Linked DNA regions of Daphnia pulex. The protein of the gene in region 2 interacts with the protein of the main gene of each other region in a biochemical or structural test. Links are inferred from orthologs where the notes say so. Each region holds a gene or a part of one and is shown on either strand. Other genes may lie near its edges. The genes, in order: RING-box protein 2-like, ubiquitin-conjugating enzyme E2 C-like and ubiquitin-like modifier-activating enzyme 1.

The links.
Region 1: the proteins of ubiquitin-conjugating enzyme E2 C-like (region 2) and RING-box protein 2-like form a complex in vitro, tested with the Homo sapiens proteins (4 studies listed by BioGRID). The link is inferred for Daphnia pulex from reciprocal best matches to the Homo sapiens genes UBE2C and RNF7.
Region 3: of the proteins of ubiquitin-conjugating enzyme E2 C-like (region 2) and ubiquitin-like modifier-activating enzyme 1, one has a biochemical effect on the other in vitro, tested with the Homo sapiens proteins (5 studies listed by BioGRID, with this or other methods). The link is inferred for Daphnia pulex from reciprocal best matches to the Homo sapiens genes UBE2C and UBA1.

Annotation. Positions count from the first base shown.
Region 1 is NC_060024.1:9,932,785-9,943,067, reverse strand, and holds RING-box protein 2-like, read left to right. Parts: upstream 1-1,498; 5' UTR 1,499-1,611; intron 1,612-1,776; 5' UTR 1,777-1,799; coding exon 1,800-1,968; exon of another isoform or gene 1,969-2,495; coding exon of another isoform or gene 2,496-2,774; intron 2,775-2,846; coding exon of another isoform or gene 2,847-3,676; intron 3,677-3,735; coding exon of another isoform or gene 3,736-3,859; intron 3,860-3,924; coding exon of another isoform or gene 3,925-4,614; exon of another isoform or gene 4,615-4,664; intron 4,665-5,067; exon of another isoform or gene 5,068-5,224; intron 5,225-6,875; coding exon 6,876-6,988; intron 6,989-7,055; coding exon 7,056-7,121; 3' UTR 7,122-7,212; downstream 7,213-10,283. Other genes in the region: tyrosine-protein kinase Shark-like, read right to left, coding at 1-129, 190-433, 517-704, 782-946, 1,012-1,149, 1,228-1,339; facilitated trehalose transporter Tret1-2 homolog, read right to left, coding at 2,496-2,774, 2,847-3,676, 3,736-3,859, 3,925-4,614; uncharacterized protein LOC124200065, read right to left, coding at 7,376-7,518, 7,595-7,805, 7,898-8,058, 8,132-8,275, 8,343-8,537, 8,608-8,750, 8,824-8,974, 9,041-9,185 and 4 more. UniProt on the Homo sapiens protein: Catalytic component of multiple cullin-5-RING E3 ubiquitin-protein ligase complexes (ECS complexes), which mediate the ubiquitination and subsequent proteasomal degradation of target proteins.
Region 2 is NC_060021.1:2,195,700-2,205,242, reverse strand, and holds ubiquitin-conjugating enzyme E2 C-like, read right to left. Parts: upstream 5,387-9,543; 5' UTR 5,240-5,386; coding exon 5,136-5,239; intron 5,064-5,135; coding exon 4,949-5,063; intron 4,890-4,948; coding exon 4,578-4,889; 3' UTR 4,411-4,577; downstream 1-4,410. Other genes in the region: hexosaminidase D-like, read left to right, coding at 1-83, 160-411, 472-790, 857-1,050, 1,116-1,502; transcription elongation factor S-II-like, read right to left, coding at 2,194-2,274, 2,346-2,492, 2,580-2,776, 2,831-3,067, 3,131-3,308, 3,379-3,444; intraflagellar transport protein 172 homolog, read left to right, coding at 5,724-5,762, 5,839-5,982, 6,053-6,165, 6,241-6,426, 6,492-6,579, 6,642-6,856, 6,932-7,099, 7,168-7,306 and 7 more. UniProt on the Homo sapiens protein: Accepts ubiquitin from the E1 complex and catalyzes its covalent attachment to other proteins. In vitro catalyzes 'Lys-11'- and 'Lys-48'-linked polyubiquitination.
Region 3 is NC_060018.1:5,971,386-5,982,402, reverse strand, and holds ubiquitin-like modifier-activating enzyme 1, read left to right. Parts: upstream 1-5,573; 5' UTR 5,574-5,721; exon of another isoform or gene 5,722-5,867; intron 5,868-5,973; 5' UTR 5,974-5,993; coding exon 5,994-7,370; intron 7,371-7,431; coding exon 7,432-7,515; intron 7,516-7,586; coding exon 7,587-8,006; intron 8,007-8,090; coding exon 8,091-8,436; intron 8,437-8,492; coding exon 8,493-8,635; intron 8,636-8,707; coding exon 8,708-9,199; intron 9,200-9,265; coding exon 9,266-9,592; 3' UTR 9,593-9,977; downstream 9,978-11,017. Other genes in the region: ankyrin repeat and BTB/POZ domain-containing protein 1-like, read right to left, coding at 1-4, 454-616, 690-849, 918-1,118, 1,183-1,245, 1,309-1,364; ras-related protein Rab-7L1-like, read left to right, coding at 363-411, 1,589-1,789, 1,849-1,890, 1,947-2,059, 2,246-2,272, 2,336-2,367, 2,423-2,512, 2,577-2,718; polynucleotide 5'-hydroxyl-kinase nol9-like, read right to left, coding at 2,929-3,397, 3,469-5,213; uncharacterized protein LOC124207205, read left to right, coding at 10,368-11,017. UniProt on the Homo sapiens protein: Catalyzes the first step in ubiquitin conjugation to mark cellular proteins for degradation through the ubiquitin-proteasome system.

The DNA.
Region 1 (10,283 bases), on a different chromosome or scaffold from region 2:
CTAAGAAAAAGTTATCTTCATTGTATTTGGCGCTGCCTTCTTTCAAACGACGCTCAGTTTCCTGTCGTGAGATGGGTCCATGATACCAGTCCTCTTTTCTGGTGAACGGAAATGGAGGTTTGTAGGACTCTGTGATAAAACAGACCAATTTAAGGAAATCCATCAGCTTTGAAATAATGTGATCCATACCTAATCGTCGTGCGCATTGATAGAAACCATTTTTTCTAGCTAAGTCAGCGGGAGTTTGATCTTCTTTAGTGCGTGACAATGGTGTTACAGACATTGCCATCATGATTTTCACACAATCGAGATGTCCTCGACTAGCAGCCTCGTGAAGGGGAACCATTCCGGTCAAACGGTGTCGGATTTGAGGGCTAGCTTTGAACTCCAGCAAAGTCTTTAAGCATTCGTGATGATTGTGTATACAAGCATACTAAACAATTCAAGAGAGGTTAATCATTAAATAAGCTACAGGGAAGGGTATTAATAAATGATTTAACTACTGTTATTAATTACATGTAGTGGAGTGAGGTCTGCATCATCCTTAACATTGACATTTCCTCCTCCTTGGATAAGAAGTTTAAGAATCATATTATTCCCCAAAAAGGCAGCTAAATGGATTGCAGTCTGTCCAATTTCGTTCTTAGCGTCGATACTCCTGTAGGAGCCACCTCGAAGTAATTCTGATACTACAGTTAGGTTGCCTGTTGAATAATTGGTAGTGACCTTGATACTTGATACTAAGGGAATCTCAGACAGATGAAAAATGCTTGGCAATCACCTTCTTTGGTAGCTCTATGCAATAGATTACATCTTCCATGACACCTTGTATCAACAGGTGGCAAATCTTTTTTGCAAGGTCGGTTAAGTGGTCCAAAAATAGAAGAGCCCTCTTTCTGACAAAGAGTAATGAGAGCATCAAGGCCATGAACAATGTATCCATCTTCTGCAAGGGGACAAAAAATTTATAATGAATGTAAATTAATGTAAAAAAATGCTTCAATGGCAAACCAATTGAAAAAAATGCATCAGCCCCATGTCGATTTATTTGGTAATGCCTGGGCTCTCCTTGGTGACGAACACTTAATATGAAAGCTCCATCAACTGTGGGGCTCTCTCTCACCAAAAATAGTCCTTCAGAGTCATCTTCTGCAGGCATAAATATGGAAAAATAAGATCACAATTTTAATAGATAGGCTACAAAAAAAAATATTATTTTAAACAGACCATTAGTAAGTAGAGCTTCAGCCTCTTGCCTGTTGATTTTCCCATGAAACCACCTTAGGTCTTGGTCAGTTTCGTCTCTTGAAGGTCGTCGAGACATGGTATTGAAATTCATTTATAAAGGTTAAAAGAGCTAGATTAAAAGTCAAAATTTTTCTTCATGTTATTTTTATCAGAGAGTAGTCAAAGGGAGTTCCTTCCTGTCAGTGGCTGAACCAAAATTGAACCGAATATGCACTTGTGATTATAAGTCAGCTGAGCGAGCGCCGAGCGGGCTAGCAGACGACATAAACAATATCTCAGCATACAATTCTGAGAGCTCCTTTGCTGTGGTTTTCAATTTTTTACTGGCCCAAAATTCTGTGTTCATAATTCATATAGCTAAAAGTAAGCTTATTTTACCCATTCTTATCTTTTGATTATGTACCTGCATTCTATTGTGTATAGTTGTCAATCATATCCAATCAAACCTTAATGCAACTATTGCTTTCACTTCAATATGTCAGTCAATGTTAAAAATCATGTTAAATGTTTTTGTTTATTTTTTTACAGGTTTTTTTATTCTACTGCAGAAAATGGCAGATGATATTGATATGGAGAAATCAGTGGAAAAAACCACAGTTGGTAATGACTGTGTAGTCAAAACTGAAAAGATGTTCTCATTGAAACGGTGGAATGCAGTTGCTATGTGGAGCTGGGACGTTGAGTGTGAAATTTGTGCCATTTGCAGAGTTCAAGTTATGGGTAAGTCCCAATTTCAATATGTTTGTTAAGAAGGGTTAGAGACAAGAACTATTTTAAAGGAAAATGTTTAAAATTTATTTGTGGTTCTGGTATATTTACATTTCACAAAATATTCAGAAATTATCTGGTTTTCACATTTTCAACTAAATACTAAAGGGGTGGGGTGTCGGCAAGGTTGTAGTTATGGGGGTTGATGAGAAGTTTACCATTTTACAATGTTCTGTACCCTGCCTGATGTAGTAATGTACATAAATATTTTGGAAGATAAAACAATTAGAAAAGATTCGTAGTCTGCTGGGTATTAGGAGAAACAGTCGTATTTATAAATAACGAATCCTAATTGTTCTATTCCTAATTATAAGGCTATCTTTAAACTTTCCTGGGAAGAAATAAGGTAGAACAGAACAGATCATTCAGAGATTTGAGGAATTGAAGACATCATTTGATTAAAGAAAGGAATAGTCTTATGTACAAAAACATTGTCCGCACTGTTAAGACGTCCAACGTTGAAAAATAATTGGTCGCCTTTACAGCCTAGTAGATTCGATATCTTTTTTCGGTTTCTTTTCAAGCATACTTTTCTCGATACTCTCCAAACTGTGTCCCTTGGTCTCTGGTACGAAGAAGATAACGAAAAAGATGCTGATAAAGCAGAAGAAACCAAAAAACCAGAACGCTCCATGGGCGCCGATCGTCGCTATCAGGTCGTTGAAGAATTTAGTTACTGCGAAGCTGCAAGCCCAGTTGAAAGCTGTAGCTACAGATGCAGCGTGACCACGAACCTTGCTTGGGAAAATTTCTCCCATCTAAATTAGCCAAATAGAAATTTTGTTAGGATTGAATTTTTTTCAAACAGCCATCACATTTTAATAACGTACCATAAGCCAAGGGATAGGTCCATAACCGATGGAAAAGGCGACGATGTAGACTATGAATGTAGTCAGTGGAAGCCAACCGACGTGTTCGAGATCATGTTCAAGGTGTTGCAGAATGAAGAAGACTCCCAATGCGCCGAGGCTGATTGCCATAAAGAATCCGGATATGTTGAGTAAAACTTTACGGCCTACTCGGTCGATGACCATATTTGAGCCCAGTGTAGCCATAAAGTTAGCCAACCCAATAATGATGGAAGAGAGGTTGCTATCTACACTTCCGCCAGATTTTTCAAAAATAGACACGGTGTAAAAGATGACCGCGTTGATGCCAGAAAGTTGCTGAAAGAACATGAGTCCGAGTGAAATGAGTAGGGGCCGTAGGTAGGCAATTTTCAAAAGTTCTCTGGCTCCACCACCGACGCTCTGATTCTTGTAATTGTTTTCAATTTCGAGAAACTCGTCTTGAACGTTAGTTTTGCCCCCACGGAGCCACTGTAGAGATTCGCGAGCTTCGGTATAACGGCCTTTAGAGATGTACCAACGTGGTGTTTCCGGAATGAACCACATGAAAGCTAAAAAGGGTAGAGGAAGAGCTGCTCCGATGGCCGCCAATACTTTCCAGTCGATGTAGGAGCCCAGAATGTAGCAAAACAAGATGCCTATGTTGCCTATCGTGGTGGGCAACAGGCCCAGCGATCCTCTGACCTCCGGTTGAATAGTTTCACCCAAGTAGATGGGCAGCGTCAAGGTAGTAAGGCCCACGCAAAATCCCTGGATTGAACGTCCGGCGTAGACCATGGGCAGGTTTGTAGCAAACGTGATGAGTAACCAAGCTAGATGAAGAAAGCAAATATTAATATTTTGAATTCAATGACACTGTTGCGTTACTTACACAAAATGTATGGTGGCCCGGTAGCCATGATGGTCGTCTTCCGGCCAAAATGCTCGACAATACTTCCACCGACAATGCCACCGATTAGAGCGTTAAGCGGCATTAAGCTCCCGATCCATGACGCCTAAGAATTGAATGATTTCCAGTTAGTTTTTGTTTGGTATTAGGGATTTTAGTCTAGTTACTAACCTCTTGGTCGTTTACGGGAATAGAACTGTTGGGTTGTGTCATAGAAGCTAGGGCAGGAGAAGTATAGCCAGATGAGTACCCCTCGATCAAAGCTGCTATGGCCAGGGCCAGCGAAGCCAACACTTGAGGGAAAAGCCTTCCACGACTTTTGCGACTTGCGGGTTCCATTTTAAATGAAGGATCTGGGAACGTAATGATCTGTGAGACATTGGACAGCCTATCGTTGTCTTTATTTTCGTCGGGATTTTCCATTGCCATATTGTCTTCTTCTTTCGAGTCAGCTGGCATGATTGGATTCAGAGCAATCAACGATTCGCTGACGACCATTGAAGTGGAAGGTATAGCTAACGGGTCTTTTGAATCGGAATTGTTGAGTCGAGCTTGAGCCAACGTTTCAGCCAGCTGTTGGTAAACTACGGAAGTTTGATCGACAGTGGCTTCGCAGCTGGAACAGGAATAGGATCCAGTGGAATTGTCATCTTTAATCCACCGGTAACTTGAGGGTGAATCGGTGCCCGTGGAACTCAAGTCGCACCCACTGTCTCTGTTTCTAGTTTCACGCTTTTCGGCGGCCAGCATGATGGCGTGAATTTTACTGCTGTCTGATTCCATTTGGCAGTTTTGTCTATCTTCGGCAACAGCTTCGATATCGCACCAAATTGAAGGTTGCTGACCTAGTACCGTAGACATCTTTGGGGAGTTTTCTTTCACCTCCTAATCCACGTACGCTCTTGGACTCTCTGCAAGGTCGAAAAGTAAAGAAATAGGGTCAGCGATTAGAAACTGGGTTTCTCCAAAATCGCAAGAGAATCGGGTTTTTCCAGTTAAAACACATTTAATAATATGAGATTAATTAAAAAGTCATTTTAAACAATCACGCCTCCTTTTAAACGAATTAGTAACTAATTGTTAAAGCGCTTGGAATTTCAATCTTGCAACTTGTTAGACAATAGAATGGATTCGAGATTTAAAAATCTTAACACAGATGGTTTGGTTGTTTTAAGACAATCGAACGTCTTCACAAACATTTTACATAAATCGGAGTGTTATTTGACTTGGATTCCGCCGCTCGAGTAAACACAAAGTTACAAATAACAAAAAAAAAAAACAGAGTTTCAAAACACTAACTAAAATTAAACTTACAAATGCCTGGAGAAATAGAGGACGCCTTGAAGAGCTGTGTTGACGCAGGATTCGAGTGGATGTGTGTGATGAGCTAGTGGGGTCCGCATGTCTTTTTATACTTCTCAGCACGGCCTACCCTGCGCCGCTCGGTTTCTTCAAGTTTGTTTCATCCCTCCTTCTTTTTCATCTTCTATCGCGAGAAGTACGCTCAGCCTAACCACACGTCACATCGCCAACCCCCAAAATGTTTTTGACGAATCCTCTTTTTTCCGGTTTTTATTCCTACTGGGATCTTCGGCCTTTTTTTTTTAATCGATTTATTTTGGTTTTAAAATTAAATTAGGATTACGTCATAGTTTTCCACAGAAGGATCGCTATCCCCCAGACCCCCACTACTCCTGATTTCTATTCTGGTCGAAATCGCAATTTAAAATCAGACTCAAAAATAATTTTTCACACTCCATGAGTAGGTCAATATTGACTTTAACATAGTGAAAGTGAATTTTTAAGTTTAAGTGATGGTCTTTTGAGAGGGAGAAATTGAAAGGTTAATAACGTTCTCGGCCTAGTTTGAACCGGTCGAAAGCAGTTTGAGCAGGATTTTCTCCCCTTAATATATCAGGGGGTGGATAGGTTCTTATACAGGTAAGAAAGTTAAAAACCATAAATAGGTCTTTTGGGAGATTGTGGGCTTTCCAGCGTCGAAGTATATCGGAACCCCCTGTAGGCCTAAATGAGCCAACAAGATTTCATTAGTAACAAAATAAAAAAACCCACTCTGAATTTGCCAATAACTTCAACGTTATAAAAAGAGAAAACTGGCTCCACCTGCCGTAAATAATCGATAACACGACGTTGAACTTGACAAACTGACTTTCAATTGCTTTTGAGTATACTCTGTCTGGCTCTTGGGTTGATACCCTCCACATCTTTAGATAAGATTTTACATAGGGTGGTGTTTATCCCTTGGTATATTTCTTGTTGCCCCTTTTCCCCTTTTTGGCTTTCTTAAATATACAGGTCATAGGCATAAAAACATGGAGGGATGTTTATCGTCTTTCCACGGAGATGTGCTCCGTACCAGTTCTTTGCCTGGTACGGTGAAGGACGTGGTGGATTTCTCCCTTTTTAGTTGGAAATACGGTATCCCTCCCCCCAGAGTACCAGCCAAGATGACGCCCAAATAACCCAAGATCAAACCCCCTATTCCATAACCCGATTAACCTAAAGAAGAACAGGAATGAAGAGGAAGACAAAAATTCTTTTTTTCTTGGTTTTCTACATCTTTTTGGAACAATCGCCTTCGAGCGAGTTGTCGTTGTAACCTAACGGTATAAGAGAATATTTTTCGAGCTTCATATGAAAGACATAGTGGTGATGAAATGATATTGAGTAGTAACCATACAAAGCAGCGTGAACTTTGGTTCAAAGTCCAATGTTTAAGTGTTTTCCGGATCGAGTAACGCTAGAAGATGATGATAAATTAACAGAAAAATCGAGTAAAATGTTACAAGTTTAAATTTTAAAAGAGAAAGTCAACATTGAATTTCTTTTTTCCCTATTATGGAATTGTTTGGATAACAGGAAATTGAAGTCTAAAATGTTGTCCTAGTCCTTCGTTGGAAAAAGGATAGTCGAAGGTCGAAAGAGTGCAGTGAACGAGCCGCTCACGACCTCTCCCAACAAAGTGACGACATCGATAGCTCCGATAACCTTTTCTATTTTAAATTCTCAAAGCTGTTAGTTTTTTAAAAACTTTTCCAACCCCATTTACAACAAAGCGAGGAAAAGATAAAAATAATTTCTTTAATTTGTACTCAATTCAGATGCATGCCTACGTTGCCAGGCCGAAAATAGAAACGACAAGGAACAGGAGGAGTGTGTAGTCATCTGGGGCGAATGCAACCATTCATTTCACAACTGCTGCATGAAATTATGGGTAACATAATTGTTTATAATGTATTGTGCAAAATGAGTTAAACGTGATTTCTCGCCCTTTAATTCAGGTCAAGCAAAATAACCGCTGTCCTCTCTGTCAACAAGAGTGGTCCGTCCAACGAATTGGCAAATGAAGATCTTGATATTCGTGATTATAAAGTCACAAACACAATTCCAATCTTTTTTTTCATAATTGCTACTCATTAATACACGCAGTGTCGTCAATTTGTCTTTTTTTCACACGTGTATTTTTCCTTTTTTTTTTTAATGAAAGATTTTTCGGACTACTTGGGATGTTATTTTGTGTTATTTTCATTGATTGATCATCATGGGTTGTTAAAACAATCTATTCTGTTATTTTAATGCTTATTTTTAGGCTTCTGCGCTGTTAACGATTGAGGAACCAAGTCATCAATGCAGCTAAAGCTAGAGTCAAATGAGACAGAACTGCGCCTGCCACAGCGCTGTTGCAACGCATGCCGGAGTGGCTGAACGTGAATTTGACTTGATCCGGCGTATGGCAGTCTTTATCTGAATAAAAGGTAAAACAAATAACGTAATCATAGAAATCCTAAAGCATTTTTAAGTTAAAAATTTTAATTTGTACCTGCGCAGGGCAAATCGTCGTTAATGTTGGTGGGAGCAGCCGAAATGTAGATGTTTGAACACTGATCCGGTACCATTTTACCACACGGCTGCATGAATTTAAACTCGACGGTTTCACCGGCTTTCAATGCGGTCTTGCAGAGATCTCCGTTTCCTGGACGTTCCTTAGTGGTCGAAACGCAGAACCTTGCCATGCCGTACGTGCTCTTGAACTGTTAAATAGGGGCGGAACGCGTTACAAGTCAACACATTTAAGTACGTACTTGTTATCTCATTTGAAACTAAACAAGGAAAGGTAACTGACCCACAAGCGCAGTTCGTTGCTGCTGTAAAAACTTTCTGGGCCCAGACGGAAGTATTGGGTGGTGTAAGTGTTGAGGAGTCCTGTGTACATATATTTGGCCTCAGTGGAGTTGGAGCTAGAACTAATGTCTTTGCACTCGGGATATGTCAGACGAGCACCGACTGTTGAATGTCAACAATGAAAACATAAAGAAATTTGAAATCAATTGATGGCAAATTTTATCTTTCTGCATACCTGTAGCTAAGCGCTTGGCGATTTCGGGGGCAGCTTCGTGATACTTAGTGAACTGGGTCATGCGGATAATGTCGCGATCGAAATTGGCTACAAATGGACGAAGTTCTTCGGGATTGCCCAAAGTGGCGAACATGATGTGAACATCTAAAAATAATTGTCGTTTTACTTTTAACTTTTTTCTGACTTTTTTTCCAACATTCGAGATAATGACCTGGCATTTCGCCGAGCATTTTCAACAAAACAGATTTGATTTTGTCTTTCTCGTTTGAGATGCTGGTGGTCACGAAAAATAGGATGGCGCGAGTGTTGGTGCCACCAATTTTGTTGGCCTTTTCTGAAGACCTTTCGGCCAAAATACGAGTGCGAGTTCGATCCAAAGTGTCAGCTACACGACGTTCACTGGTTCCTGCAATTTTGGTGAGTGTTATGCGTACAATTTATGAAATTGAAATTAAATCCATGTCAAATTTGTATACCAATAGGGAGGCTGATGAATTTGCAAGCTAATTCGGCTCGATTGCGAGTAGCGTTGAGATCCAGGAAAGGAGTTCCGTCTTTACTTGACACAGCTTCCATTCGGCTGCCGCCCAGTTGGACATCCAACGCCAAAGCTAAAGCTCTGTATAACGTTTTAAATTACATGTTTTAGTATTATGATTGTAATTATTTGTTTCAAAGACATTCAGACTTACGCAGCGAGATCTTTCTGGCTGTAAAGGCTTTTGGCATCCGCGATTTGATCGAATACGAAGGTAAGATCAGTGTAAGTGGCTGGTGTAGCTTCGGCCGTCGATAGGGCGTAAGGTCCTTTGCACTGGGTGAAATCTACGATGTTTGAGTTGCCTGCAAAGAAAAAAAAAAAGTTTAAAATCCCGAAAATTATCCGTGAAACCAACAAAAATTATTTACTTAGGTATTGGTCCAAAAAAGAATTAATTTCGTTCATGGTTGTGTTGACATATTGGCCGATTTGATCCGCAGGTTTAACTCCGGGAAGAACAGTCGGAGCGCCGTCAATGCCGCGTGAGTACAGGACCAAAGCAGCGTTAAGAGACTACAATTAATTTGATCAATTAAATTAAAGTTGAATTTTTTTTTTAACTGCAGAGCATTCAGCGCACCTGTTCTTTGAGCATGGCCTGATCTACAATATCTGAGTCTCTGTAATTGTAGAGGCGGTTGCAAGCGCGGAACTTTGAGTCACCATGGATACCAGTCTCAGAATAGTACATTTCCAGGACGGCCGAAAGTTTCAAATAGCTGCTCGAATCCCAGGTAGCCATACGTTGAGCCATCAGCAAACCTAATGCCAATATTAACAAATGTTACATTCGTTTTGTCTAGGTTCAAGATTTTTCTGATTCTCACCATCAACACCACCATAAAATTCGGCGTTGGTCAACATGGAATGTTCTCTGGTTTCCAGCTTGTACTCACGCGGGCACAGTGTGCAATTCCACTGTCCTCGTGGTCCGAAACTTGGAAGGTTCTTGGGTGTTCTCAGAAGAGAAGTTTGTGCAATATCACCTAAACATGACGACGTTTTGGATTGTGGAACAGTAAAAGATTTTGTATGGATTGAACGAAAAAATACCTGCGAGCGTAGCCACCCAAATACTCTGAACAACCCTCTCCAGTGAGCTTGGCGAAAGTTCCATTTGCGGATCTTTGATGAGCTCTTTCAACTACAACAAAAGTAAAGGAAGATTTTTATGTTAATGAATCGTTTGATGCAATTGAATGGAGATTACCGGAGCGCTTTGAGGTTCACTTCCGGCAGCGATACCAGTCAGGACCGGGCCAGCTGCTACTGTGCCATACTTGGTGTGAACGATACCGACTTCCATTGGCTGAGCGGCCAAGGTTTCAGTTTGGCGACGCTTACGCTTCCAGCCGTCTGATTCACTTTCGCTATTGTCATCAACTGGGCCGTAGTCTTCACCCCCAGTCTCTACGGTATCTTCTCCAAAGATATTTTCCGTGTCTTCGGGTAAATCTTCTGGTACATCTTCTGTCAGTTCCACATCTGGCTCCTCTACTGGCTCATCTACTGGCTCATCTACTGGCTCATCTACTGGCTCATCTACTGGCTCATCTACTGGCTCATCTACTGGCTCATCTACCGGCTCATCTACCGGCTCATCAACTGGCA
Region 2 (9,543 bases):
TGAGAGAAAATCCCGCTGTACCGCAGGCGGTGTGTCCATCACAAAATGAATCTTTTGTATTAATTCAGAATCTCGTCGATCAAGTACGTGAGCATTTGGCTCCTTTCCTAAATTTATTATTCACCCTCTTCTTTTTTTGTGTGCATTCTCTTGGAACAGATTATGTCAATGCACGAAGGAATCAAGTATCTGCATATCGGATGTGATGAAGTGTTTCACATGGCCGAGTGCGCAATCTGTTCCCTAAAGCCTAAAGATGATCTTTTCCTATCTCACGTTCACCGAGTGGCCTCCTACGTCAACAACAAGTATAAAGTCAAACCCATCATTTGGGACGATATGTTGAGACACATGACCGCTGCGACACTGGATGATGCCAAATTAGGAGATATAGTAGAACCTATGGTTTGGGTAATTGCAGAGAATAATTTGGTTAACTCATTGCAGAGAATAATTTGTAAATTCATTCAGGTCTACGCGGAAGATGTCTATCGATTTGCAGGGTCGTATGTTTTTGATCGATACGCCCAAGTTTTCCCATCGTTTTGGATATCCAGCTCATTCAAAGGCGCATTCGGAGAAACTCTGATAGTCCCCGACATTTCTCGACATTTGGAGAACAATCTCAATTGGTTAGACGTTGGACGGACGGAGAGTCCAAAGTTCCGGCAAGGACTCCGAGGCATAGCCATAACTGGATGGCAGCGTTACGACCACTTCAGTAATCTATGCGAATTATTACCGGCATCCATCCCTTCTTTAGCGGTCAACTTGTTGACTACATCCAGAGGTGATTCCATTTTATTTTTGCATCTGTTAATTGCGAATTTCAACAGCTTCTTTTTCGGTCCCATAGGATATTACAATCAATCACTGGCGCCATCACTTTATAAAGCCTTATCTTGCCAAAAGGCTCCGCGATATGAAAAGATTCCTGATCTGCGGATAAGTCGATCTGATCGTTTTCTGCACGAAAAGATGACCATGTGTTTCTTTCCAGGTGCACCTTTCTTCAAAAGCACGGCCCGAATCCTCCGGCTCGAAAAAGAGGTAAGTCCTCCCTACGATTCAGAACTGAAAGAACCTTTTAAAATAACATTCGAATTTAATTCTAGATTGAAGAATATGTCATATTGACTACCAAACGTAAGGGTTGGCTGACGGATTACAGCGTCCGGCACAACTACAGTAGCCCAGCTCGTATTGATGAGCTTTTGCGCGACTTGCCTTACCTGTCGGGCAGTCTCAACGCAGTAGCTAAGCAGACAATGGACATACTGAAGAACATCTTTGACGTTCACACGATATCCGAGTGGATGGAACAAAAACTTTTGCCCCTTTTCGAGAAATTGGATCGTATCCAAATGGACGCAGCTACATTGCGCTCCCAAAAATACTGGCCTGTTCGCCCACTCAAATTATTTGATCGATGGCAGCAGTACGGCCTCCATTTTAACCATTTTTTCAACGTGAATGAAACGCAGTCCAGCACTCACCACTAAACACTCACGAATATTCGAAATAATAATCTGCAATACCGTACACTTTTTATTTTATTTAGCGAGGTCTTATCCCAAAGGACAGATGCCTCGTGTTCAACTTTTGACAAAAATCATGGCATATACAAACATCTAAAGTTTTTCTGACTATGCTGTTATGTTCTGTTGCACGGAAAGGCTCTTCTCGCTGTGCACATCATTTATTTCCATTCCCCGCTGTTTCCCATGATATTTTCTGGCCCATTTTCTGGTTAGAATTTTTTTACATATTAGTCGACTGTTTAATGCACTGTTCATGATCGTTTATAATTTTGGTCGCTGACGGGTAGCACTCGGAACAAATTGATATTCCCCAATTTTTTTGTTTGTTTTCGTACCTAATTAAACGGTTAATGGTGGTCACAGAAAAAGATAAAATTTAATACATCAGCTAAACTCGATGATCAGGTCTTACAATTTGTATTCAGTCAGTTTTTACTATAGAGCCATTAATGCAAATAAGGGACTCTATTGAGCTGAGAGGGAAATATCCAAAACTTGCTTTCCACTTCTGAGGTGCATTTTGGGGAGGGGGAAAATAATGGGCTAAGAAAGGTTAGTCAAAAGGATTCGGAGGCATTGTCTTAACCAAAACGTAGGTAACGAACTTGAATTTTTGTTGTTATTTTAGCATTATTGGTACAACACAAGGTTTTTAGCAGAACTTCCATCGATTGCCGCAAGCGTTGCAGAGAACGAAAGTCGTCATCGGCTCATCAGCGCTTCGTGTTTGGACCTGAGAAAAATGAAAAAGTACACGAGTTGTAATTTTTACGTTACATTTTCAAAAACCAAAGGTTATCATACCTGATTGTAAGTGCAGTTGCGTTTTCCGCACTTTCCGCACTTGAGGAGATCGGTTTGTGTACCCTGAACTGTGGCCAGCTGAGCATCGTTGATGCTTTCTTTAGTAAACTTTTGGCGAATATTCTTCATTTCATCAGAAGCCATTTCCTAAAATAAGTTTAGATTATGAATACAATTTAATTTGAGTACACATTCGTCTCTAATAAAACGTAATCATCCTCAGTTACTACTCACTTCAGAAGTCATATTCGAAAGACGAGCAGGGCTAACTTGACCACAGAGAAAATTGAGGCGCAAATTGGGGTTTCGGGCGTCCTTCAGATTAGAAACTCGACTTCTAACTCGGTTCTTGTATTTCATGTCTGTATTTCTACACTCTTTGTAAATGCATTCCTCCAGCATTTGGGCCAGGTACTCAGGATCGCCTCCACCTATTTTGTAACAGTTGATGAATAAGTCAAAGTTATAAATTTAAGTGTGTGTACCATCTACAGCAACACCATCTCCTTTAATTGCAGCACACAACATCTCCCGGCATTTAAGCCTAACTGAGTCTGTGGTTGTTGATGGTAGGGCAGGAAATGAAGATTGGACACTGCTAGAGGAACCTTTTTTGTCTTTGGATGATTCTTTCGAAGGAGTCTCTTTTGGTGGTTCTTTGGTTTTTTCAGATACTTTCCCCTCCTCTTTTGTGCCTTCTTTTGGGTTAGCTGATCCTGAGTCAAAATTTCCAAACCAGGAAAGTAACGACAGTTTGGGAGTATAACAAAAAATTTAATAGTTACCAGGTAGGAGCTTCTTCCATTTCTTGATTAACGCTTTGGTGAGATTGTTGACTTCATCATTTTCACTTTTCTTGCGGATAGCATTGACAGTCATACCAATTCTAGTGCTAGTTAAAACAGCCAAATTAATTGGTAGATCTTTCAAAGCTTTCAAGTAATCCAACGCTTCATCTTGGCCCTGTAACGTCAAGTTAATATCGTACAACTTGAACCACAACGTGACGTATTAGATGAGCAAAATATGTTACCAGCTCTTCTTTCACAATCTTATCCAACTTCTTCTGAATACGTAGCACATCTTTTTCGCAATCCATAATGAATTAACGATTTCAAACGGTTGTGAAGATGAAAATTTTATCGTGATTTACGCGCGAAACGTGAGGACTTGTAGCCGCGTTGTTCTACAGCAATGGCAATAACACAACAGCTAAACAGCAGACGATCTTTCGATTTATTTTACGCGTCGTTATTTCCCATTTCTGTAGCACGGAAATTTAGACGTGGGACTTTTACGTTAGCTACTACTAAAAGTATAAGATTGCGTTCAGAAAATCTGCTAATTAACGAAATAAACGTTCATAAATCTGTATTGAATTTGTTTGAACGTCCAAAATTGTTTCATCGCGAGTAGTTCATAAATGCTTCAAATTGATTGTAATATTACCAAAATTTCTTAAAGTGTACGCTGGAGTGGACTGCAGGCGTTAAATTTCTACTAGATGTGTTGACACACATTCGAAAGAAAATGCGTAGCGAGTCTAGCGGTTGCCTTGAAAATTTTATTTTTAAAAATTACGTTTTTTAAATTTTCAACGTTAATAATTCGCATACCCTTGGTACGGCACACTTAAACTATGTTTGGTAAGCTCGGAAATTCAAGCTGAGGCTAAAATTCATTTAAGAATTAGGCTATCGAAAAACGTTCATTCAATAAAAATTGCATATTTAAAACTATTTTAGCTGGCCTTCAAGCTTGAGAACACATACAAGTGATACAACATTAACTTTGCCTTATAACGTCGTAACTATAAATATTTAAATTATGTTAAATTCTATACCAACATTGCTGAGCTCAAGCTAAACTTTGAATTGTACAATGTCTAAAATTCTAATTTGACGGTGATCAGTCGTACAATATTCCACGTTACCACGTATGTTTGAAATTTACGCACAAATATTCTAAATTAAATAAAAATAGCTGTAGTTTAGGTGATCAGAAATGAAACAAAAGTCCTCAATCCTCATCCAATTCCCGCACAATGAAACTCAACATCAAAATCTGGAATGCAAAATTTTGCTTCTATTTTTCTTTTTTTAGAACAGGCACCATTACAGCACAATTAAAAGACTTGAAATTAGGAAACCAAGAATTTCTGTAAACATTGGAAGAGTGACATTGTATTATAGCTATGGAACGATGATGATGGTATAAAACCTCAGATTGGGTTCAGGATTTGATGTCTTGAAATTTCTCAAGCAGTAATTTCTTGTAGGCAACTTGATCAGACCATAGTTGAGCTGCTTGGCCATTCAGAGGGCTGTCATTGTTGGGATCTCCAAGCAGGCTTTGAATGGACAGAAGGATTGTCCTGACATCGTAGAGAGCAGACCATTTGTCCTTGAGTATGTCCAGGCAGATGTTACCATATGTGTCCACATTAGGATGGAAGCAAGGAGTGACAAACTTGACTGTTGGGGCAGTAAAAGGGTAGCCATTTGGAAAGGTGAGGCTTAGTTTATATATTAAACCATCATAAACCTAAAACACAAAGACATTAAGGTAAGTTACAAACTACAAAAGATGGTCTGAAGACTTACCGTTCCCTTTGGGCCAATGATTGTGCCAATCCATGAAAAAAATTCGTCACCGTTTGGGAAAGCAGAGATTCCTTTATCACCAGACATCATGAGTGTAAGAAGCTCTTGCTGCAATCTGCAAAAATGTACAAAGTTATTATAACATTAACTACTGAAGCCATTTTTTTCTGTTTGGTATGTTTCTCACCGTTTGCTGGTCGACTGGTGTTTCGTGGCCGACGCAGGCCCGTCCCCATCTTTCATCGCCGTACTATTGTTGGACCCGTTGACTGGATCAATATTTTGAGCCATATTGTAATATCAATAAAATTGTCGATACAGTATTATTAAGCAGCTAGGATAAAACTAATTGAGAAACTGAGAAAGAAGGAAGCTGGGCCAGGGGCAAGAGCAGCAGAAGGGGGACGTCGTTCGACCTTAAGCTTTTTTACAACTGACTTCGTGAGAGGGAGGTGTGTGCCAAAAAAAAATTTCAAACGGAAAGCTATTGCCAGATCTGAAATTTAAGTTTTATGAGATGATTTGGAAACCATTTACATTCATTTAAGATTATAATAATTTTTAAATACACAATAAATATTTCAAATCCATAATTTTTCTTTTTTTTTAATTCGATTTACTTTACTTGCAGGGTTGTTCTACTTACGGCGCCCTCTATTATTGATTGGCTTGTTGCCTAGCAACCAAGAAAGATTCAAAACACTCGTTTTTTCATTTTCTGAAAAATTATCCGATACATTTCTGGAAAATGTTTTAAACATACTGATTCTTAAAAATGCAAATACGTCGAGCAAAGACTCTTCTACCTTATCAAGTGAGTGAGATTTAAAAATAAAACCTTTATATTATTTTATAAATTCGTTGAATGAGGAAATGATTCTTCTAAAAAGGATGGCGCCGCCAAAACGTGTGGTATGTGTTGGTCGGTCAATGGCCAGAAATTAGCTGTGGCAACCGCAGAAAGAGTCGTGTTTCTTTTTGACGCCAATGGAGAGAAGAGAGACAAATTTTCGACTAAACCATCCGATTCCAAAGTTAGTAATAATATGAGAAATTGACTTGTTTAAATTGGTCAATCTGTACTCTCTTTTGTCCCTCGTTCAGTACGGCAAGAAAAGTTACAGCATCAAAGGAATAGCTTTTTCTCCCGACTCTACCAAAATCGCCATAGGACAGACGGATCAAATTGTCTTTGTCTACAAAATCGGCGATGATTGGTATTGAAATGCGGTTTTTAAATTTCGCGGCAAAATTGATATTCATTCACGCCGTTTTGGGGTTGCTGATGGCAGGGGGGATAAAAAAGTTATCTGTAATAAATTTGCTCAGGCGAGCTCTGTTACCTGCTTAATTTGGCCTAGCCAAGGGCCAATTATTCTCGGGTTGACTGACGGAAAAGTACGCGCTGCCCACATCAAAACCAACAAATCCCAGACACTCTACGCCACAGAGTCCTTTGTCGAAACACTAGTCTCCAAGTAGGGAATCTATATTTTTTAAGTTTTAATTAACTGCAAATCTAAAATTGTTTAGTTTACTATAGTCAATCGGGAACCGGTTTTATCTCTGGACACGCTGACGGAACGATTGTTCGATTTTATGTGGCAGATGATGGCACTGCTCTTCCTCAGGTACTACCCAGATTATTCGTGATAATATTAATTATAAAAATCACCGTCTCGTGTACACACAGGGAAAAGTTGTGGTTCATGGAGTGGCTCCCACTGCTCTTGTTTGGGCTGGCCCGTTAATTTTAGCATCTGGATCGGACCAGAAGCTGATTTGTTACTCGGCCGAAGGAAGGCCACTTCAACAGTTTGATTACAGTCGAGTCAAGGACGAACACGAAATTACTGTGGCCGTGTCAAGCGGATGCGGTCAGATGGTCGCTCTAGGAAGTTTCGATAAGTATGCATTCACGATATAATAAAAATATAAGAGTTCGAGAAATCAATTCAATCAAATCGGATCCTGTTTCAAAAGGATTCGCATCCTGTCGTTCAATTCGAGGAAGAGACAATGGGAAGAAAGCGCAATCAAGGAGATCAAAAACATGTACACGGTGACGTGTTTGGCATGGCGAACCGATTCGCTTTATCTGGTCTCCTCTTCTCTTTGCGGCGGAGTGGAACTCTTGGAAACCGTCGCCAAGTATTCATAATCCATTTTTCATTTTCAATCTGTTACTATTGTGTTTAATAATTTATCTACACACGCAGGAGAACTTTGTGGAATGGTCGAGTGGAGATCATTTACATTTCATCTAGTCAAGTAGTCATCAAATCCGTACCGGAAGAAGGTGTTCCTTTTTTCCATCCGGTAGTCATCCGCACGCATCCCGGCCTGGAAATCGAAACGGTATCAACAAGATTTTAATTCGAAAACGTTACGCATTATCATCATAACGTACATACTATTTCAGGTTAGAATCATGGGCAGAGAAAATTACGCCGTGGCTCGTACCGATCGGACGCTTATCGTCGCCGACTTGAAACGTGGACTCGTTAGCGAAGTGTCGTGGAAGGAACCGGAAGTCGTTCAGGTTTACGGAATTAAAATTAAGAAAAATTCCGGAAATTCCTTTGACATTCTCTTTTTTTCCCCCTCCCGATTGCAGGATGGAAATAAAACGAAATTCCATTTTGACACTCCGCACGCCTGCATGGTTTTCTCTCGGGGTGAACTCACGCTGATAGAATACGGTGTCAATGCCATTTTGGAACGTTTGAGGTTTCTCTCATTTCCAATGATTTTGTCAATAATTATTATTTACAATTGAAATTTCTTAGGATGGAATTTATGAATCCGCATCTGATCAGCGTCCGCATAAACGAGCGCCACCGTAAAGAGGGGGATAACGTGAAACGATTGGCTTATCTACTGGACTTGAAAACTATTGGCATCAGTAATTCCTGCCTCACACAAAAAACTTCTTTTTATCAATGAAATGTTAATTACATTTTTGAAGGTGATTTGGTGACCGGCCATTCGTTGGGTCACATCTCGCACGAATCGAAAATCGATTGGCTTGAAATGAACGAGACGGGCCGAAAGTTGCTGTTCCGCGATCAGAAATTGCGGCTCTACATGGTCGATCTGGCCACCTCGACTAAAACGCTTTTGCTCAGTTCGTGTCTCTTTGTGGAGTGGGTGACGGGCAGTGACGTCATCGTCGCCCAAAGTCCATCCTTGCTCCACGTTTGGTATCACGCCGAGAGCAGCGACAAGGTCCAGACCATCGACATCCGCGGCGAAGTACTGGACATTGTCAAAGAGGCGGGCGGAAGGACAGTTGTCCGCGTCCAGGACGGAACCATCATCAACGAAATCGCCCTGGACGATCAGCTGATTGAATTTGGGACGGCCATCGAGGACGGCGATCTGGTCCGGGCTCTGTCCTACCTGGAACGACTCGATTCCCATTCGCCCGGCTCTGCCAAAGGACTCTGGGCCACTTTGGCTCGCATCAGCCTCGACGCCGTCGAATTGCGCATCGCCAGCCGCTGCTTCGCCGCTCTCGGAGACATCGCCAAAGTTCGTTTTCTGATGGAAACGGTGCGAGCCTCTGAGGAAGTCGCTAAAACAATCAGTATTTAATTAATTAAGTTTTAAAAATTCACATTTCTAAATTCGTTTGAGTTGATTTAACTGATTCTATTCCAGAGGGCGATGGATTCAGCTCGCCACTGGTTCAAGCCCGAATGGCCATTTTCCAGCGAGATTTAGCCACAGCTGAGCGCATTTACATCGATCAAGGCAGTCCGGATGACGCTGTGCGGATGTACCGCCAATTACTCCAATGGGAGGACGCCCTTCGAGTAGCGGAGACTTATAATCTTTCAGACAGACATCAAATCAGGTGAAATGTAAAAGAAAAATGTTATTTGTATTACAGTTTTTCATTTAAAATTTTGACATTTAGGCAAGACTACCTGCAATGGCTGCAAACAACTTGTCAGGAATCGGCAGCTGCCGAAGTCTATGAGCGATTGGGAGACTACCCATCGGCCGTCAACATGTGCCTCAAAGCCGGCCTTCCTTCCAAGGCGGCCAAGTAAAAAATCATAATTCGGGTTATAAGAGGAACGATCAACTTAATCCAATAGCTCCTTTATTGATTATAACAGACTGATGCTGCACAGAGAGGAGCTCTTATCCGACGCGGAGGCGGTTCATCAAGTGGTGACGGCTTTGCAGCGTTGCAACATGTACGTCCAGGTGGGCGAGGTTTACCAGGCGACCGGCAAAGCGGACAGAGCCCTGGAATTCTACCGCAAAGGTCATTCCTACGCCAAAGCTATTGATTTAGCCCGCCATTCTTTCCCCGGAGAAGTGATCTTGCTGGAAGAGTTGTGGGGTGATCATCTCATGACCACCCATCGACCGGAACAAGCCATAGCTCACTACATCGAAGCCGGGAAGATGACGACGGCCCTCAGGGCGGCCATCGACGCTCGCCAATGGGAGAAAGCCGCCGATATTTTGGAAGTCGTCGGCGAATCCAACGTCGAACCGGAACACTTTCAAATGCTCGGCCGCTATTACGCCACCACTCGAGCCTACGAGAAAGCTGAAAAGTTTTTCATCAGAGGCAA
Region 3 (11,017 bases), on a different chromosome or scaffold from region 2:
TCGGCTAATAAAATATATTATTATTTGCACCGATAAACCCTCGTATTTTAACATGTTCAATTTTAAGCTTAAAGATGCTTTTAAAACTATATAAAACATAGCGGCGTTTCTATGGCTTTGCTTCTTAGTTCTTACTCTCAACATGAGAACGCTATTGCAGCACTTGTATGGCAAAGCTAACGTGAAACAATGAAGAGTCCAACAAGGAATTTTTTCTATAAAAGAACAGAATGAAATAACATAGAACGACGGCACGTCTCATGCAGCCAGGTAGAGTTAATCGGCTTATGAATAGGGTCGCTTACGAACTCATTGACAATATGTCTGCGAGTTCTGTGCTTTCACTTTCATACAGATAGAAGATGGCGCAAATAACGGCTGCTAAACCGCCCGATCGGAAACTTTTAACAGGTGAATTTAAAAGTCACACAATTTAACTAATAGGTAATTTACCGAATGCTATTGACCGCTTTCTGGCTTCTTCTAAACGATCCTTTAAAGATGGAAGACGACACTGCATAGCTAAACGCATGCATTCGTCTACTTCGTCTAGGAGAGTATTAAGGCGTCCACTATACAAGTATTGAATAATTGATTTGAAAGCAGTCAGATCAACCTATTAATTACATTTAATGTGCAATTAGAGTTAATCACACAATGTAATGTTGCTTGCTGTAAAATCTACATACCAATTTATTTTGAAGCTTGACTGTTCTTTTAGAACTCCATTTTCCCTTGAAAGCTTCCCAGAAATATGGGGATCTAGCAGCTAAAATAAAACGGTGAATAGCAATTGATTCCCCTTGAATGTTGAAGGTGAAGTCACTAAGCTCTCCCAGATCAAGCAATCTTAATAAAAAAAAAATAGTAACAGATCTCATTAAGTGGTAGAGTATTTTAAGTTTCTGTCATCTTACTTCCTCAAAAACTCTTCATACTCATCACGAACTACAACTCGGGATGAAAGGACTTTGTAGTTCCTCAACTTGTTCCGTATTTCATTTGTCAATGCACCATAGAGGATGCGTTCTCCATCAAATGTTTGTGCTTCACATAGTGCTCCATTATCTAATAGATATTCTGCTAGCTCAACATGACCACATAAACATGCATAGTACCTTGTTTTCAAATTAAAGGGATTACCTTAGATTATTTAAGTGGATTTGAAATAATTCAACTTACAGCGGCGTGCTATCCCATCTGTCTCGAACATTTAGATCAACTTCCTTCTGTTCTACTAGGTACCTGTAACAAGTATTTGTTGAAGCTGGCTTGATACCGTTTTAGAAGTATCCATCGAAAGTATACTTAATTTTTTTCAAATTTCCGGATCGACAACTGAGGAATAGTTCACGTAGATCCATGTAATACCGATTAGAAGATATGTTTTTAAGAAGTCCTTAAATTATAGTTACAAATCGGTTTTCAGTTTTCACGTGCCGACTAAAGTAAACATCGTCTGTAGCTACAGTTTCCATGGTGACCTGCAGATTTTCCCACGCAATGAATTTGATTCGAGTTCGACGCTCTAACCTCTAAAATTATAAAGATTTCTACATTTCACTAATTATGAACTTTAAAAAATTAGAATATAACAGAGCGACTGAGAAATTGTTCAAAGTGATTATAATCGGCGACCCCGGAGTGGGGAAAACTTCATTTATTCGCCGGTATGTTCAAAATGCCTTTCGCGGGGATTATAAAGCTACGATAGGCGTAGATTTTGCTTTGAAAATTGTCAGATGGTCAGAAAACCAGACCATCAAGTTGCAACTTTGGGATATTGCAGGTAATATTATTCCCTTTTCTTTAATTCAACAATAAATTCAACAAACATTTGTTTCACAGGCCAGGAAAGATTTACATGGATGACACGTGTATATTACAAAGGTTTCGTTTATTTGTAAGTCTATAAATTGTGTTGTATTAAAAACCTTCACTTTCAGAAGCTCAAGGCTGTATCATTATGTTCGATTTGACAAGTCGAAACTCATTTGAAAACGCAGTAAAGTGGAAAAAAGATGTCGACTCTAAATGTGTCTTGGAAGATGGTGCGCCGGTATGTTACTGTTTTGCTATTTTTGTTTTTTTCTATTTTACCTTTCCTGCTTTTTGTGTATTACCTTTTCTATTTGGTTGTCTATGTTAAATTTATTTTAATAAATAAATTTAACTGACATAATAAACAATAACTACATGACCACCGTATTTTTAAAATTAAATTAAATGTCTGTTTTACTACCAGGTTCCGTGTATGTTATTAGCCAACAAAGTAAGTTGTTTCTGGTGCAGTCCAATTTAAGCAGATATTTAACTAAACGCATCTATTTTACAGTGTGATTTGCGGCAAAGGGAGGTGGATCAATGGTGAGAATCCGTTCTAATGCAAATAATAATTAATAATTTAGAAGATCCAAATTAGGGAGATTGAAACTCTTTGTCGGGAGCACAGCTTCATTGGTTGGACAGAAACATCAGCAAAAGATGACCTGATGGTTGGTGACTGCATGCGGTGAGTCGAAAGAGTAATGTCTATTACAAACTGCTCTCAATTACTGCCCTACATTCAAAATTAGGTTCCTGATCGAAATAATGATGAAGTATAACCGCTTCCAAACGACCGACATTTTTGGGCCGTCCCTAAAGCTTAGTAAACGAACAATCGAAGAAAGCAACGGTGTAATTGCTAGAAAGGAAACTTCTTCTTGCGGCTGCTGACCGTGAATCTACATTAATATTTATAAGTTCATTTTCATGTGCTGACCCTGTTATTCTTGGGTTGAAAATCAATTCATTCTAATAATAGCGCGAATAGCACTTCTATATAAATAAAAGTGGCTGTTATTTCTAACTTATGATCAAATCAAATAAAAAAAAAATTATTTTCATCGCCACACAACTTCTAGTTTTACTTAACCATCACACATATTACACAACATTGCGCAAAGTAAAGACGGGATTGTACTTGCGGTAGGGTCGACATGCTGGCTGAGCAACAGAAGGACCAAAAGTCCCGTATGGGACTCGTAGTTTCGTGACACATTCTTCATCTTGGTTGACCGATAAAGGTGCATCGAGTAGTAGACTTTCTGGAACTCGTACTCCTCCCATCACTAAACAATTGACATGTGCAAGTCGCTCCGCTGGTTCTGGGCTGATCAAGTAGACACGGCCTCTTGTAAGGTCGATTCCTCTAATAATACCGTAGCCCAGACAAGGCATCAAAGGTAACTCTCGCAAAATTTTGGGGTATTTTCCGTCAGCAGCCTGGTAATATGGAACAGAAGCAGCGGCATCGTTGTCCAAAATGCAAAGAGCAACAAGCGAAGCGTTGAGAGCGGCCATTGTCAAAGCAGGTGGAACAGATTCATGGCAGATGCAAACGGCCAAATCTTGCCTTGAAATAGAAATTTTAATTGACACAATTATTCTTGAATACAATAATATTGATTGGGAAATCATTATTACCATGAAATGCAGTAGGGTACAGAATCCATTAACGACCAATGAGCGCTGTTAGATAGTTGGCTGAAATAGGACATTAGTCCAATTTGCCGCAATTCCGATGCACGAAAACCCCATTCTTCTAAACTTTTCTCCGATAGTTCCGCCGATGAATAGATTGCTTGTAGCTCGTAATTGGGTAATTTTTCTGACCACTCAGCAGCATCGGTTAGCCAGCCGCGTTGGTGTTGAGCAACATAATCACGTTCGAGCATTGAAGGGAAATTGCGACGAAGTGAGCGGCTGCTAATTTGAAGAAGTTGGTGTGGCTGGGTAAGACGAATCAAGTCTAAAGTTACATCCAGACCAATACCGCTAGTGAATCCCATGGTATTGATTAGTGTTGGAACGTTTTCCAAGGCAAATTTAAGCTTGCAGTCGATAAGAAGTTGCCGGCATGACCGAACATAGCGTTCCGGACAACCGATAATATCTGCATCCCCGACAAAGTATGAGAAAAGTGGCTGTTGAATGTGGGTAAAATTTGGACCAAGCAACGGTTCAGAGACTAAAGATGCTGTTACGCATCCCGCAGGAAAAAACTCTGGCTGGCCAGGATCAAAGTCCACCACCAAAACGGTTCCACACTTTTGGATGAGTTGATTAAGCAAGTAACGAAGTAGAGTTGATTTCCCCACTCCTTTTCCACCGAGCAACATTACTCTAACAGTTTCCTTTTTTTGATATTTATCCATTAATTGTTGTGCATACTCTGCCCAGACATCTGGTTGTAAATAGAATCTGGCGCTGAAAATGCTTCCGCGTAGAACAATACTCGTGTCAAGTTGGTTACAAAGTTTGCCAAATAGGTTGCGATTTTCATCTCTCCAATAATTAGATTCTGGAGGAACGCACTCTTCTTTCTTGAGGATGTTGATGGGGAAAATACGGCTGATGTAATCAATCATTCCAAAGTTAAGGGAACGCAAAATAAGCAAGACATTTTCAGAGCTCTTTTTCTTCAAAAGATTTTCTTCACACGTCAACCCAGCAGACTTCAAGAGAGCGTGAGCGCGGCTTGCATTAAAAGACGTATTGCTTTTTCCGACTGAACGGATGCACTGCAGACTGTATCCTCTAGGAGAAAAAACATGGTATGTTTTACTTAAATTCTGCTCAATAGAAAAGCCTTGCATCTCGGCAATCCCACTAAGACATGTCAAACTAAGACGTCCTTTGAAGTAAAAACATGTCTGAAATGGGATGAATGCTAGAACTTCATTGGGATTAATTAGAAGGAAATCAAATGTATCCAGAGTTTGGTAGACTGCTTGCAAAGAACTTGATTCCTCATCCATAGCAAAGGTTTCTTCAATACCTTCTTTTTCTGCTGTTAAAAAAGAATCATCCTCATTGGGAGAGGATTGGAATGAATTATCTTCATCAGAAATGTTGCTCTCCTTTAATTTAAGTTTTAAGGCACCAATGCCAGTCACCGACACACTTTGATTAATGGTTGAACTGTTGTCTACATTTAATTTGGATGATGTTTTGTTCTTTCGTGAAGTTTTTTTTTTAAGTTTTGATCTTTTCGAAGTTGGTTTGGTCTGTCCATTTTTTAAGGAATCATAGACACTTTTGGCTGAAAGCAAATGACTGACAAATGACAATTTTTTCTCTGCCATATTTGTTGAGTCAGAACTATCGTTTGTGTTGCTTTTTCTTGAAGAAGAAGCAGTCTTCGTTTTTTTGGTTGAGAGTTTCTTCATATTTGTCAAATCTTCGTGGAGGCTTAATGAATCTTCAAGAAAATTTTGGTTTGAGTTTTTATTTTAGTAAGCTATTTTAATAATATTCAATTATACCTGATTAGATCCTATTGTTATATTTTATTTTAAAAAATGCAGATTTTACAGTATTTTTAAGCAGCCGAATTTTCAATCCAAGCACGTGTAAAACTGTAAGCTATAACGCTCAAGTTGCCAGATGCTCTTTAATTCAGCGATCAAATTGTCGGCGGGAAATGTAACTATTATTACGCGTACTTTCTTTGTCATCATCATCACTCTATTTAATAATCGGCTAATAAAAAAGTCGACTATTGCGCCACCTTACTCGTTGATTACAGACATTTTTACTTTGGATTTTAGTAGGAATAGGGAATTGCCGGTACAAGGACTTACTTGCATCAGCTGATACCCGCCATTTCCCCATATCTACGTCGAGTCATCGGTGGGAGAAAGGTGGCAGCACGCAGCACTTTCGAGTTCATAGAAAGTACTGGTAATTACTGACTGACTTTCTGTTGCTCTCTTGCTCGTCATTCTTTCAGTTTGGCTATCTTTCGTTCCAATCCTGGTGTGCAAATTCGCCGGCATTTTGTCGTAATTGTTCATAATTCTCCCTTCGTTGGAATAGTCTAAGTGAGTATTCCAATCGTTCGGAGTTTGAAACTTACCGTAATTTTTTTTATATTAAAGTAAGAAAACTGGTTTGTTAGCACCCATTGTGACGCTCGTGTTGCCCAAGGTATTGAGTTTAATTTTTAGATGTCCACTGCTGAGGTGGATCCGTCACCCTCGTCTCCCAGTCCTGCTGCAAAGAAAAGGAAGTTGGAAGAAAATAACGGGAACAGCAGTAACGGTAGCAATCACCATTTAAAAGAAGTTCAGCAGCAACCGAAAATGGCAGGAAATGGCAACATCCACACCATCGATGAGGGTCTTTATTCCAGACAACTTTACGTATTGGGCCATGAAGCTATGCAGAGGATGGCAACTTCTGATGTCCTGATTTCCGGTCTTGGAGGCCTTGGAGTGGAAATTGCTAAGAATATCATCTTGGGAGGTGTGAAGTCCGTCACCCTTCATGACAACTCAATTTGCAAAGCCTCTGACCTTTCTTCCCAGTTTTATGTATCGGAAGCAGATCTGGGAAAGAACAGAGCTGAAGTTTCTCACAAGAGCCTGGCCGAACTCAACCAGTATGTCCCAGTAGAAACTTATACAGGAGAGTTGAACAAAGAATTCTTGAAGAAATACCGAGTTGTAGTTTTAACTAATTCAAGTCTTGAAGAGCAACTTCGGGTTTCTGAGATCGTTCGTAGCTTCGGCAATGCTCTCATCGTCTCTAAAACACAAGGTCTGTTTGCCCAAGTCTTCTGTGACTTTGGGGAAGATTTCACCATCATCGATACTACTGGAGAAAATCCCGTTTCTGCTATGATTGCTGGAGTGTCTAAAGAAGAAGCAAGTGTTGTTACTTGCTTGGATGAGACCCGGCACGGATTGGAAGATGGCGACTGTGTTACCTTCTCTGAGGTACAGGGCATGGTTGAGCTGAATGGTTGCGAACCCAAGAAGATCAAAGTACTTGGACCATACACCTTTAGCATTGGTGACACGAGCGCTTTCAGCGACTATGTACGTGGAGGAGTGGTTACCCAAGTGAAAATGCCTAAGCAAATCCACTTCAAACCGTTGGCTGACGCTCTCGAAGAACCAGAATTCGTGATGACAGATTTCGGCAAATTTGATCGGCCTCCCCAAATCCATCTAGCATTCAGGACATTGGACGCCTACGTCAAGAAGGAGGGACGATTGCCAACTCCTTGGAGCCGTAAAGACAGTCAACAGTTTGTGGATTTAGCTAAAGAGTTAAACAGCGGTCTAAGTGGCTCATCTAAAGTTGAAGAAGTTGACGAAAAGTTACTGGCCACCTTCTCCCATGTATGTCAAGGAGATTTGAACCCCTTAAACGCCACTCTCGGCGGGGTTGTCGCTCAAGAAGTTATGAAGGCGTGTAGCGAAAAGTTTTCTCCCATTGTTCAATGGCTATACTTCGATGCCACCGAGTGTCTGCCAGATAACCAAGATTCGTTGACCGAAGAAAACTGTAAGCTTACTGGATCCAGATATGATGGACAGGTATTGAAATATTTATTTTTGTTTTTCATCAGTTATGCATTTTATTTTTTTACATTTTCAGGTGGCAGTGTTTGGCAATGAATTCCAGAAAAAGCTTGGATCCCTACGTTACTTCATTGTGGGAGCTGGAGCTATCGGTTGTGAGGTAATTATCAAAGTTTTTGTAATAAATTTTCTGTAGATTTTATTAATTAAAAAATATATTCTATTTGTTAGCTTCTCAAAAATTTTGCCATGATTGGAGTTGGTGCTGGTGAAGGGGGCCAAGTCTTCGTAACAGACATGGACTTGATTGAAAAGTCCAATCTGAACAGGCAGTTTCTTTTCCGGTCGCATGACGTACAGAAACCCAAATCCAGTTCGGCGGCCGCTGCCGTGAAGGTGATGAACCCTCAGGCCAACGTTACAGCCTTCGAGAATCGCGTCGGTCCCGAAACGGAGCAGTTCTTTGATGACGATTTTTTTTCGAAATTGGATGGCGTTGCTAATGCCCTCGACAACGTGGATGCCCGTATCTACATGGATAGGCGCTGCGTCTATTACCACAAGCCCTTGCTCGAATCTGGAACTCTGGGTACCAAAGGAAACGTTCAAGTTGTTATCCCCCATCTAACGGAGTCATATAGTTCGTCTCAAGTAATATAGCTTATTATTTATTTTTTCTTTTATGCTAGTTTTCTGGTTTATTGTAATTAATCAACTTTCTTCTTAAACTTATAGGATCCTCCGGAAAAATCAATTCCTATCTGTACGCTGAAGAATTTTCCTAATGCCATTGAACACACACTGCAATGGGCTCGGGATATGTTCGAAGGGTTGTTCCGGCAATCAGCAGAGAGCGCTGCTCAATATTTAGTTGATTCTAAATTCATGGAGAGAACACTAAAGCTAACAGGATCTCAACCACTCGAGATAGTCGAGGCCGTCCACCGCAGCTTAGTTGAGGAACGTCCGAAGAATTTTGAGCAGTGTGTTCAATGGGCTCGCCTCCATTGGCAGGAACAATATCACAATCAGATCAAGCAATTATTGTTTAATTTTCCACCCGAGCAACTTACTTCTTCTGGTAAAATCTATTGATAAAGTGTAATTTACTTTGTATATAATTTTTTGTTTTGACAGGTCAACCGTTTTGGTCGGGACCTAAACGCTGTCCTCATCCATTGGAATTCGATATCACTAACCCCGTCCATTTGGATTATGTGGTTGCGGCTGCTAATCTAAAAGCTAAAATTTACAACATCCCACAGTCGCGCGATGTACAGGTGAGTTCACTTTTTTTAGTTAAAACATAATTTGATTTACAGTTGTTTTTATCCCCTCGGACTCGAATATAGGCTATTACTAAAATGGTGGAATCGTGTGTCGTACCGGAATTCGTACCACGTTCAGGAGTCAGAATTGCTGTTTCGGATGCGGAAGCTGCTGCTGCCGCCAACAACCCAGGCATGCTTGATGAAGACAGACTTACCCAGCTGCAGACGGAGTTGCCATCTGTGGACTCTCTGTCCGGCTTGCGCATTCTCCCCCTCGAATTTGAAAAGGATGACGACACCAACTTTCATATGGATTTCATCGTAGCCTCTTCTAACTTGCGGGCAGAGAATTATGATATCGCACCGGCCGATCGCCACAAGAGCAAACTTATTGCTGGAAAGATTATTCCAGCCATTGCTACTACTACCTCCGTCGTTTCAGGCTTGGTCTGCATCGAACTTTTGAAGTTGGTACAGGGTCATACCAATCCTGAGGCATTTAAGAACGGGTTTATCAACTTGGCTCTTCCGTTCTTTGGCTTTTCTGAACCAATCGCTGCTCCCAAGCAAACGGTATTGTTGGAAAATATTTTAATCGATTCGTTAACTAAAAAATTTTTTGTTTGTATTTGATTAAAGTATTACGACAAGGAATGGACCTTGTGGGATCGTTTTGAAGTGGAGGGTGAAAAGACGCTCCGGCAATTTATTGATTACTTCGAAAGCGAACACAAGCTGAAAATCACCATGCTTTCACAGGGTGTTTGCATGCTTTATTCGTTCTTTATGCCGCAAGCTAAACGAAGCGAACGTATGGATCTCCCCATGTCAGAGGTTGTCAAGCGTGTGTCGAAGAAGAGACTGGAGCCTCATGTCAAAGCACTCGTCTTCGAGTTATGCTGTAATAACCTTGAAGATGAAGACGTTGAAGTGCCCTACGTCCGTTACGTGCTCCCGACCGAATAAAACTATTTGATTACTCTACGTTGTGCGGCGGGTTGGGGGTTGGTTCATATTTGATTTCAAGGTTATTTACTACCATAATCATCAGTTCACTTGCGCTATATCCAATGTTGTGGACTATTAGCTTAGTTCGTTGCTTTCTTTAATTCTAAATAGAATTCTCTATGGAAGTTATGTTGACCTGGGTCATTTATAATCAATTCCAAGAGTTCTTTCTTCGTGCCAGTGAGTATTAAATGTTACCGATTGGATTAACAAAGGGCAAAAATCCTTACTCTACATGGCTGCAACTTTTTCAACAACCTCCCTTTCAACCCTTCCCCGTTTACCGATTGTACAACTGGCCTTGAATATTGGTATGAAGTTAATACATGCCGTCAAAATTAAATCCTATATAAAAATGTTTTTTTTTTTATCAAGTGCATTATCAACGTACTTAGCAAGTCTTTGACTTTGGTCGATTGATGATAAATCAATTGAGATAAATCAATGGCTGAAAGTTCGATTTATTCAATATTTATTCAATTAAAAATCTTCTTAATGATGTTACGGTATTGTCGTTTTATCGTAACAAAAATCAAAGTTTGCAATCGTCGTTTCGTAGGCAAAAATTTGTTAAAATAAAACATTAAATTATGACTTTGATTCTTGAAACTAGATGGCGTATCCCGCGACTGTTTAAATTTCCCGGTTTAAAAAAAATGGGGCTGGGATGATAAGAGTCGACTGCTCACTTGTTGTGTTAAAATCGTATAATATTCGCTAAACATTTAGTTCAATGGAAGTGGACGACAGCAAAAATTCATTCTTGTTACGAATCATCGACAATATGGCGAAGCAAGGCATGGCGAGTTTGTCTGGCGAGTCTGGGCCTCACGTCTCTCGTTACTTTCCTCGACCATCGGTGCCTACATCATCTAAAATCAATACTGAAAACCTACCAGTTGGTCTCATAAATTTAGGTTCCACTTGTTGGTTCAATGTTGCAGTTCAAATTTTATACCACATTCCTGCCTTTCGACAATTGATTTTACAGTTTGTGCCTCCTCAGACTACTGTGCCAATCCCGTCAATGGATGTTTTAGTTGGTCTTCAGGAACTTTTTGTCTCAATCACATTCTCCGATGAAAAACTGATTGATCCATCAAGAGCAGTGAATTCCATTGGAAAATTACTGGGGCAAGGTCTGGGTCAACAAGATGCCTGTGAATTTCTTGGAGTGGTACTTAACAGAATAAGAGAGATCAACCCACATGTAATTGAACAATTATTCATTGGATCATGTATCCCAACAAATTCAATGGAATCATCAAGCATCCAGCATCAAGAATTCATGCAATATACTTTACAAGTAAATGAAGATGCTACCCTGTTGGATTTATTGGAACAGTCTCTCAAAAGTCATTCCAGTTCATTAAGGATTGATTC